2 linked regions of the Pelodiscus sinensis genome follow. The protein of the gene in region 2 interacts with the protein of the main gene of each other region in a biochemical or structural test. Links are inferred from orthologs where the notes say so. Each region holds a gene or a part of one and is shown on either strand. Other genes may lie near its edges. The genes, in order: PIAS1 and SATB1.

The links.
Region 1: the proteins of SATB1 (region 2) and PIAS1 form a complex in vitro, tested with the Homo sapiens proteins (2 studies listed by BioGRID, with this or other methods). The link is inferred for Pelodiscus sinensis from reciprocal best matches to the Homo sapiens genes SATB1 and PIAS1.

What each region holds. Positions count from the first base shown.
Region 1 is NC_134724.1:3,147,808-3,151,723, forward strand, and holds the start of PIAS1 (E3 SUMO-protein ligase PIAS1), read right to left. Parts: upstream 2,913-3,916; 5' UTR 2,851-2,912; coding exon 2,821-2,850; intron 1-2,820. UniProt on the Homo sapiens protein: Functions as an E3-type small ubiquitin-like modifier (SUMO) ligase, stabilizing the interaction between UBE2I and the substrate, and as a SUMO-tethering factor. Catalyzes sumoylation of various proteins, such as CEBPB, MRE11, MTA1, PTK2 and PML.
Region 2 is NC_134712.1:192,365,228-192,369,143, forward strand, and holds the start of SATB1 (DNA-binding protein SATB1), read left to right. Parts: upstream 1-1,092; 5' UTR 1,093-1,223; coding exon of another isoform or gene 1,224-1,227; intron 1,228-3,916. UniProt on the Homo sapiens protein: Crucial silencing factor contributing to the initiation of X inactivation mediated by Xist RNA that occurs during embryogenesis and in lymphoma.

The sequences.
Region 1 (3,916 bases), on a different chromosome or scaffold from region 2:
TCTCCAGTGGGTAAAATACTTCCTTCAAATGCCAATACTCACTGAGGGAAAACCTCACCCTAAGCTTAAAAATCACCTCTATTAAATAAGTTTGGCTACTTTTGTCATAAGGAACCCCTAAGATGACTATAATTAGCAGCATCAGTGTTAGTTTGTTTCTTTTGTAGTCAATTTCCCTTGTTTTCTCCACAATACAGGGGAGAGCAGAAAAACCCACATAATTCTTTTTGAATGTATAAAAACTGGCAAAGAGACTCCAGGCAGAACAGGTGACAAACCAATAACCACTTAACTTCTTCATTAAAAATGACTACATTCTAAGTTGTCAGTACCCCTTTAAACCAAAGGCTCTCCAGACAGAGTGATTTCAAAAGATACATTCAAGACCTATTGGAAATATCTATTTGTTTGATTCATCAATAAAACCTAGTCTTGCAAAGCAGAAAACTACACAAACAAAAGTGGCAATTTCTAAATGTTTAAAATGAAAGGAAACCAGTCCCACTATACAAAGATAATATACACAAAAAACAGACACACTAGTAAAGTCATAGCTATGTAAATTACATAATCGGAGGGTGGGGGAATGACCACTCATTCTGATCTCCAGGAAGCATGATAAGTTACCTCTAATTAAGCCATTTAATCAGATAACCCTTTTCGAACCTGTAACTTTTTTAAATACCCATCTTTTATAAGGAGCAGATTTTTCTAATGTATCTTTTCCAAAAGATATGTGAAGTGTTTTGTGGACAATATACAGCACAATGAAAATATTTTTGACATTCACTTCCTTAGGTGACCCAAAATGACATTTGTGGTTCCACTACTGAGGCCAAGGCAGGGAAGGAGAGAGACACTTCAGATGAAGAAGCACAGGGAGGGCCCAGATTTGGGACTGTCTGGCAAGGAGACTGGAACGGTGAACGGGAACGGGAGTCTGGCCTGTGATGAGAAGCCTGAGCAGTGAAACTGGGACTGGCTGAGCAGGGATTGGGATAGGTTGAAGGAGACAGGGCAGAGGAGTCATGTTGGGGCACGGAGGGGAAACAGAAGAACTCACGCCAATGCAGGGCTGGCCTTACCATGAGGTGAACAGAGGGGCTGCATCAGGTGCCAGACTGGGGGTGGGGGGTTGACACTAGGACCCCAGAGAATTGAGACCTTTCAAAGTTTTGGCAAGCGAGGGGACATGGGGGCATCATTTGAGCTCCCCACCTCAGGTGCCAAAATGTTGTGGGCCAGCCCTATGTCAACAAGAGCAAAGTCCCCTGCAGAGCCTGGAATAGAATTCAAGAATCTAGAGTCTCACTGCTCCTCTGCTATTAGCACAGTGGATTTGACAGACATGTCAAAGTTTTCCATAATCCTCTACTGCTGGTCCACAAAGCAGTAACATGTTCTTCGCCTCCACCATTAGTTCAAGTGGCAGAAGTTTGCATGGGGGGAAAACTATTGGTTCCAATAATATGGGTGTCAATATGATGCCACACAATAGAACTTGTTTTAAAAAGCAATTTGGAAAAAAAACCCAGGAAGTTACAAATCACAATTTAAAAGTCCTCCATTAAAACGACATTAAAATTGCAAACTTAAGCGCTCAAAAGTTAACATGGGCCCAAATTAAGATTGTCGGCACCCCCAGCCTTGCATTACGATACAGTCTTTAACGCAGGATGGGGGTCTATGCAAAGAATGGTATGTGATCCTATAATTAGGGACGTTAAAATGCATGCATTTGTGTAAACGTGTAACCCCTGAATTTTTCAGCAGTTACAACATTTACACATGTGAGGGTGGGAGCCAATTCTCACAGGGAGCCAGTTTAAAAGTTGGCTCCCTGCGAGCACAATCTCTGTCCCCCCACCACTGGGGACCAAATACTGTCTAGACCACCCTGATAGACATTTATCTAACCTACTCTTAAATATCTCCAGAGATGGGGATTCCACAACCTCCCTGGGCAATGAATTCCAGTGTGTGACTACCCTGACAGTTAGGAACTTTTTCCTAATGTCCAACCTAAACCTCCCTTGCTGCAGTTTAAGACCATTGCTTCTTGTTCTATCCTCAGAGGCCAAAATGAACACGTTTTCTCCCTCCTCCTTAGGACATCCTTTTAGATACCTGAAAAAGCAGTAGCACAGGGGCAGGTGGCTCTGCATGATGCAGGTGGCTTGTGGGGAACCCCCCACTGCTGCCTTTGTGGAAGGGAGCAGCATGGGAGGTTGGGGGGGAAAGACAGGCGGCTTGTCTGGAGCCGGTATGCGCAGGAAGCTGGCTTAAAATTCCCCCCTCCCCCACGATGCTGCCTCTGTATTGGAGGCAGCAGTGGGAGAGGGAGGAGGAGATGCATGTAACGGAGAGGTTCATCTGTTAACCGTGTACTTGGATACACGTTCACATCCCTATCTTGAATAGTGTTTATGTAGTGAGTAGGTAATCAATATTTTGTTTCCTCATTTTTCAACATATGGACCCAAGCTTTATTTACTGCACACTATTCAAACTCTGCAGGAACTACTAGATTGGCAGATTCTCGTATCTGCCACTGCAGGGTTTCTTGCTGAGACACAAGCAGAAGGATTATGGATCTGATGCAATCTATCTATTCCCTTGCTCCTAAATACAAATTTAGGCTTCCACTTTGCAAATTTAAATAAGACTTACTATTAAAAAGAGAACTGGGGGGAGGGTGCAAGAAACCCTAATGAACTATATATCATTACCATGGGTTTTTTTTAAGTGGGATATTAGAATTAGTCCTTTGAAAACAACTTTCAGGAAACAAACAAAAACAAATAAACTTTTTTTACTGACGTTGCAATGACTGTTACCACAGAGGCGCATGAATCCAGATACTCAGATAGGCGTCTCATTCAGCTATGTTCTTATTTGGAAAGATCACCGTTCTAAAAAGAGCAAAAGTGCCAGAATATAAGAATATAATAAGACTAACCTCACCAATGTTGAGAAATATCAGTTTCCACTGTTTGTCTCAAAGGTGATCTCAAATTTCAGCCCAGAGATGACTGGGGACAGTATGAGAACAGGACACCAGCATGGTCCTGATTTGCTAACATACTGCTGTAGTCTCTATGCTCTCTTTCTCTCAACACGCTAGGTTTTAACTTTCTCCTTCACTGGCTGCTAAAAACAGTGGCCAGGCACTGACGCTAAGTTGTTTCCCAGTCATCTATTACACTTCCCTATCATTCCATGTCCTCCAGCACCCAATATCATTCATGTCTACACAATTCTATGTGATTAGCATAATACACTGTATTTTACCCAGTATCCATAATGTTAAGGTCCAAAATCATAGCTATACCATCCAGTTTTCCAACCAGTCCTGTTTATACTATGTCACCGTGTAGCAATTCTCAAAAAAAAAAAATCAACTTCTCATGTCTGATTTTGAGTCAAACAACTAAATGTATTTAAATCCTCCAGCACTGAACATGAGCATAAAATAGAATTGGTAACTTGGACAAAAGCCTCTTTTGCTCTTAGGTCACTTGTTCAAAATGATAGACTTTTGGGCACTATCAGTCATTTCAGTGTTAATAGGATGAGTTAGTAATCAGTACAATTCCCAAGGAGTTTGGGGTAGTAGGACCATCTATCCACAAAACATTGGGAGAAAAAAAAAATGTTCTTGGTGAAAGAGCGAAAGGACTGAGAAATCAATTTTATGCAGAATTTAGGCTCTTCCTTCAATGATAATTTTAAGCCAAGATTTAAGTGACAGATGACTTTGAATGACTAACTTGATACACCTTAAAGTCCTTGACTTTCAAAAAGTGCTACACACCAATCCTCAAATTTAGGCACCCGAAAATCATGAATCATAAGTCTCGACTTCCTCCTTAACTGCAAAAAAATCTTTAAAACGAAAGTAAATCAAGACAGCGAA
Region 2 (3,916 bases):
TCTAAAGTCAATACAAGTTGCCTGCTGTCATATTCAATACAGATTGCAGAGTCACTTCACCGTGCACACACTTTCCATTAACTTTATCTGCGCCAGCTTGTTCTTTCCCCACCCCGGGTCTCGGCGGCCGGGGCAGAGGATCGCGCACGCGGCCCATCTGGAAAGAGGGAGGGAGCCCTGAGCTTTCCCATCTTCTCCGGTCCCAATTGCGATCTGACCCTTAAAATATTGATCACCTTTGTCAGATCCTTTTCGGAAACTCCCCTGCTCGCTCATCCTTTCACTCGCACGAAGCCAGCAGCAGCTGACAGCCAAGCATGTGGGGGTATAAATATTGAAATAAATGAGTCGGAGGGAGGGGGGAGGGAAGGAAAAAGAGAGTGTGTGTGTACGCGCGTGGAGGGGGGGGTGATCGGTGCTCCTGTGAGGGGCGCTGCTCTCCAGGAGCGGATGGGAGGGAAGGGGGGGGGGGGAGGCAAGATAATAGCATTAAAAACAACAACCAGCAGCAGCCCAACAACAACAGTGATTAGCTCCTACCCATCGCACAGGGGCTGGGAGGGGATTATCTGTCTCTCACCTGACTTCCTCCTCCACCGCGAGCCGGGGGGAGGCAGAGACACGCGCGCACACAAACCACTCTCCCCAACTCAGCCCCAAAACACACCGGCCAGAAGAAGGGGACCGAGCAAGCGCCAGACGCACACCCGGCTCCCGCGGCTGCGGCTCCCGGCTCCGCTCTACGCCGGCGCTCAGCCTCTCCCCGCCCTAGCCCGGCTCTGCCGCCACCGCGCACCCGGGGAGGGCAGCAGCAGCAGCAGCAGCAGCCGCCGCGGCTCAGCTCGGCTCCGGCACAGGCGCGAGCAGCGTCCGCCAGGGGGAGAGAGGCAGCGAGACACGGCGCACGGGTGCGGAGCCTCCGGCCGAGCTCCGCTCGCTCGCTGGAGCCTGCGCCCGGCGTCCTTCCCCGCCCAAGGGCTCCAGAGAGAGGAAGCCGGGCACACGCCGGCCCCGCGCTGGTACCTTGCTGCCGACCCCGGCTGCTCCTGAGGAGCTGCTCGGCAACGGGGGCGGGCGGGCGTGCGTGGCTCCCCCCCTCCGCCTCTCCGTCCTCTAGACGCCCACTCCCGATGGGGGAACAGACAACTTGAACTTCAGCGCGATTAACTTCGCCGCCGCCTGGGAAGCTGAAGGTGTCGCCCAGCCTCGCCCGCGGCGCTCTCATGAGTGAGTAGGTCTCTTTTCCTCCTTCTCCGGTTTCCCGCCCCCCCCCAGCGCGCCTCGGGTCTTTTATTAAGTCACGTTGTGGGTCGGAGCACTGCTCGGGAGCGTGGAGGGGAAGCCCTTCCCGAGCCGGGCTCCACACACCTGCTGCCTTGGCAGGGCTGCGTGCCATAAACGCGGGGTGTGCGTGGGGGCGGGGGGAGTCTTGCCTCGGCTCCGGCTGCTGAACCCCTGCGGAGGGGCAGAGCCGAAGTCACTGGCCCGGTAGCCCCCTTCCCCTAAAGGCAAGTTCCCTGAAAGTTTGGCAAACTTCCCCCCACGTTCCCCTGAGAACGCGCTGGGCTCGGGAGGTGCCAGCCGCCTTGGCGACAGGTTGCCTGGGTTTGGCGCGCTGCGAAGATGCATTTGTTAAACGTGCGTGGGCTGGGTTGTGTTGAGGGGCACTTGGCCGACGTGTTTAACCTGAAACGCAAAGTTGTTGAAGACCGTGTGTTGCGAGGCTTCATGGGGGAAGGGGGAGGAGAGAGGCGGAAAAGATCAACTTTGGCAGTGATCTCTGAGAGGGGAAGGTTTCTCCTCGCAGCACGCGTCGTGGCAGCTGGCGTGTCAGTGACCTTAGTGGTGAGGAAGCACAGTAAGCCCAGGTACGCTATCTCTTCTCCTCTGCACCTCCTTCCCCTGGCGTTCTCCATTTCAGATCTGGTTTGGTCCATGAAGAGGCAGCGAAGGGCCCACAGGGGAACAGGCACTTAGACAATCCCCCCTAAGTTGGTAGTTTTAAGTACGTTAGCCAAAGCGTCCCACCGAGATACTGCCAAAGTTTAAAAGACCCCAGAGCCTCATTTGAAACGACGTTTTGCAATCTATATAAGGTTCATTTAGTTCAAAGGAAAATAATTCAAATCAAGTATTTTATACCTTAGATATTTTTAAAAGTCCAACAGAAAACTTCCTCTAATAATCACATTTTTGGTGAAATCTTTGATTAGTTCTAGGGTGAAGAACCAATGACAGACACCTGCAAGTTTCCAAGTTTTATACTGCTAGTCCCAGAAATCTAAAGTGCTTAGGTTACTGACAGAGAAACCCTTATTATCCCATTGAAAACTTGTGTTAAAATATTTTACAACAGCTTTTCACCCAAAATGAAGAAAAAAATGGAAAAAGCCAATAATCAGTTTTATTCAGTCAAACCTAATGTAATTGTCCTATGGAAATAATTCACAATTTCAGATTCAACAGCTCTAAGGTTCTAGTAGTAGACAGTACTAGGGTTAGCAGCAGGATTTAGCAGCAGCCCTTTATTTCTACTTTATATCATTTGGTATAGTACATTAGTATATATTTGTCTGCTTCAGTATGCTGGCAAACATTAGCATTCAAGCTTACATTTTTGACAAATGTGCAGACAGGAATAGCATGAATAAGCATCTTAAATATTAACAACCTAAGCATCTGTTGTGAAACAAATTTAATATATTTACTCTGTTTTTCTCACATTGTTAGAAAAGGTTACAATAAGTGTAAAATTGTAATGTTAGTTAATACAGGGATTGGATTGGATATTTCCCTATCTCTTCAAGTCTTTCAAGCAATCACCAGATATAACGATATTAATTCTGGTGCATTATTTTATAAAGAAAGTTGAACTGTATGCATACTGTGTAAAGACTTGAATATAGTACAGTGGCTGTAATGTGCATCGTATACACTTACAGTGTTAATATTATGTATACACTTTATATACACATTTCCTATTTCAGATTTTAATATCTCCCTTATCAAGTGGAAATATTTTATACACAAATGTGTAAACATGTACAGTAAAAAGTGAATGTAAAAAGATAGCGTATGTATGCATACATATGTTTTGTGTATATACATATCAATTGATAGCCCACATACATTACAAGGCTCTATAACAAAAATAAAATCATTGTCTGCAGTTGTACCCCGTCCTGAATACCAACAGCTAATGTAAAAGAAACAACTGACTTCAAGGAATTCCTCTTTTCCCTGGAAAAACAGTAATCTAAGTAAAACAAGAACATAGAGGGAAGTCTCCAAAAAGCCTGTATAGTATTTTCTTTCTAGAATCAGTGCATTCCTCCTTTTCCCCACAAGTGCAAATGTGTAATAAATAATAGTTCTTTGTATGCAAAATGAGTTTACTGGGACAAAAATATTTAAGTGGAATGTTTTTTGTTCATGCATTTTTAAAAAGTTAGTTTCTTTTTTTATATTCTTTGTTCTTGAACTGTTAAATAGCTAAGTTACTCCACAAGCATTCCTCCTTGTCTTCTGTTCTTTTAACAAGACCTATCTAAGGATAAGTCCCCTTGATACTTATTTCTGAGAGAGAAATATAAAACAGGCAAAGTCAATCTGTGATTTGTTAATGGTACATGTTGATTTGCAGAGTAAGAAGAAAGAGAGAATCTCCCTAATTAGCCAAAGATTGTAATAATCATTTTTATCTGAACAGGTTACCGTTTGCAGTGTAGGCCCATAAGGTCACCTGATAAGCACCTGTCCCTGTATTATTATAGAGATCTTGTGGTTACAAATAGTACTAAACTAAATACAAGGTGCTGTCTTCAAAGCACCATAATTCTCTAATACAAAATTCCAAAGGGATGTAGGCAGGTGTGCCCTTTCAAACCACAGAAGTGTTTCTCTGACATGTAATCAA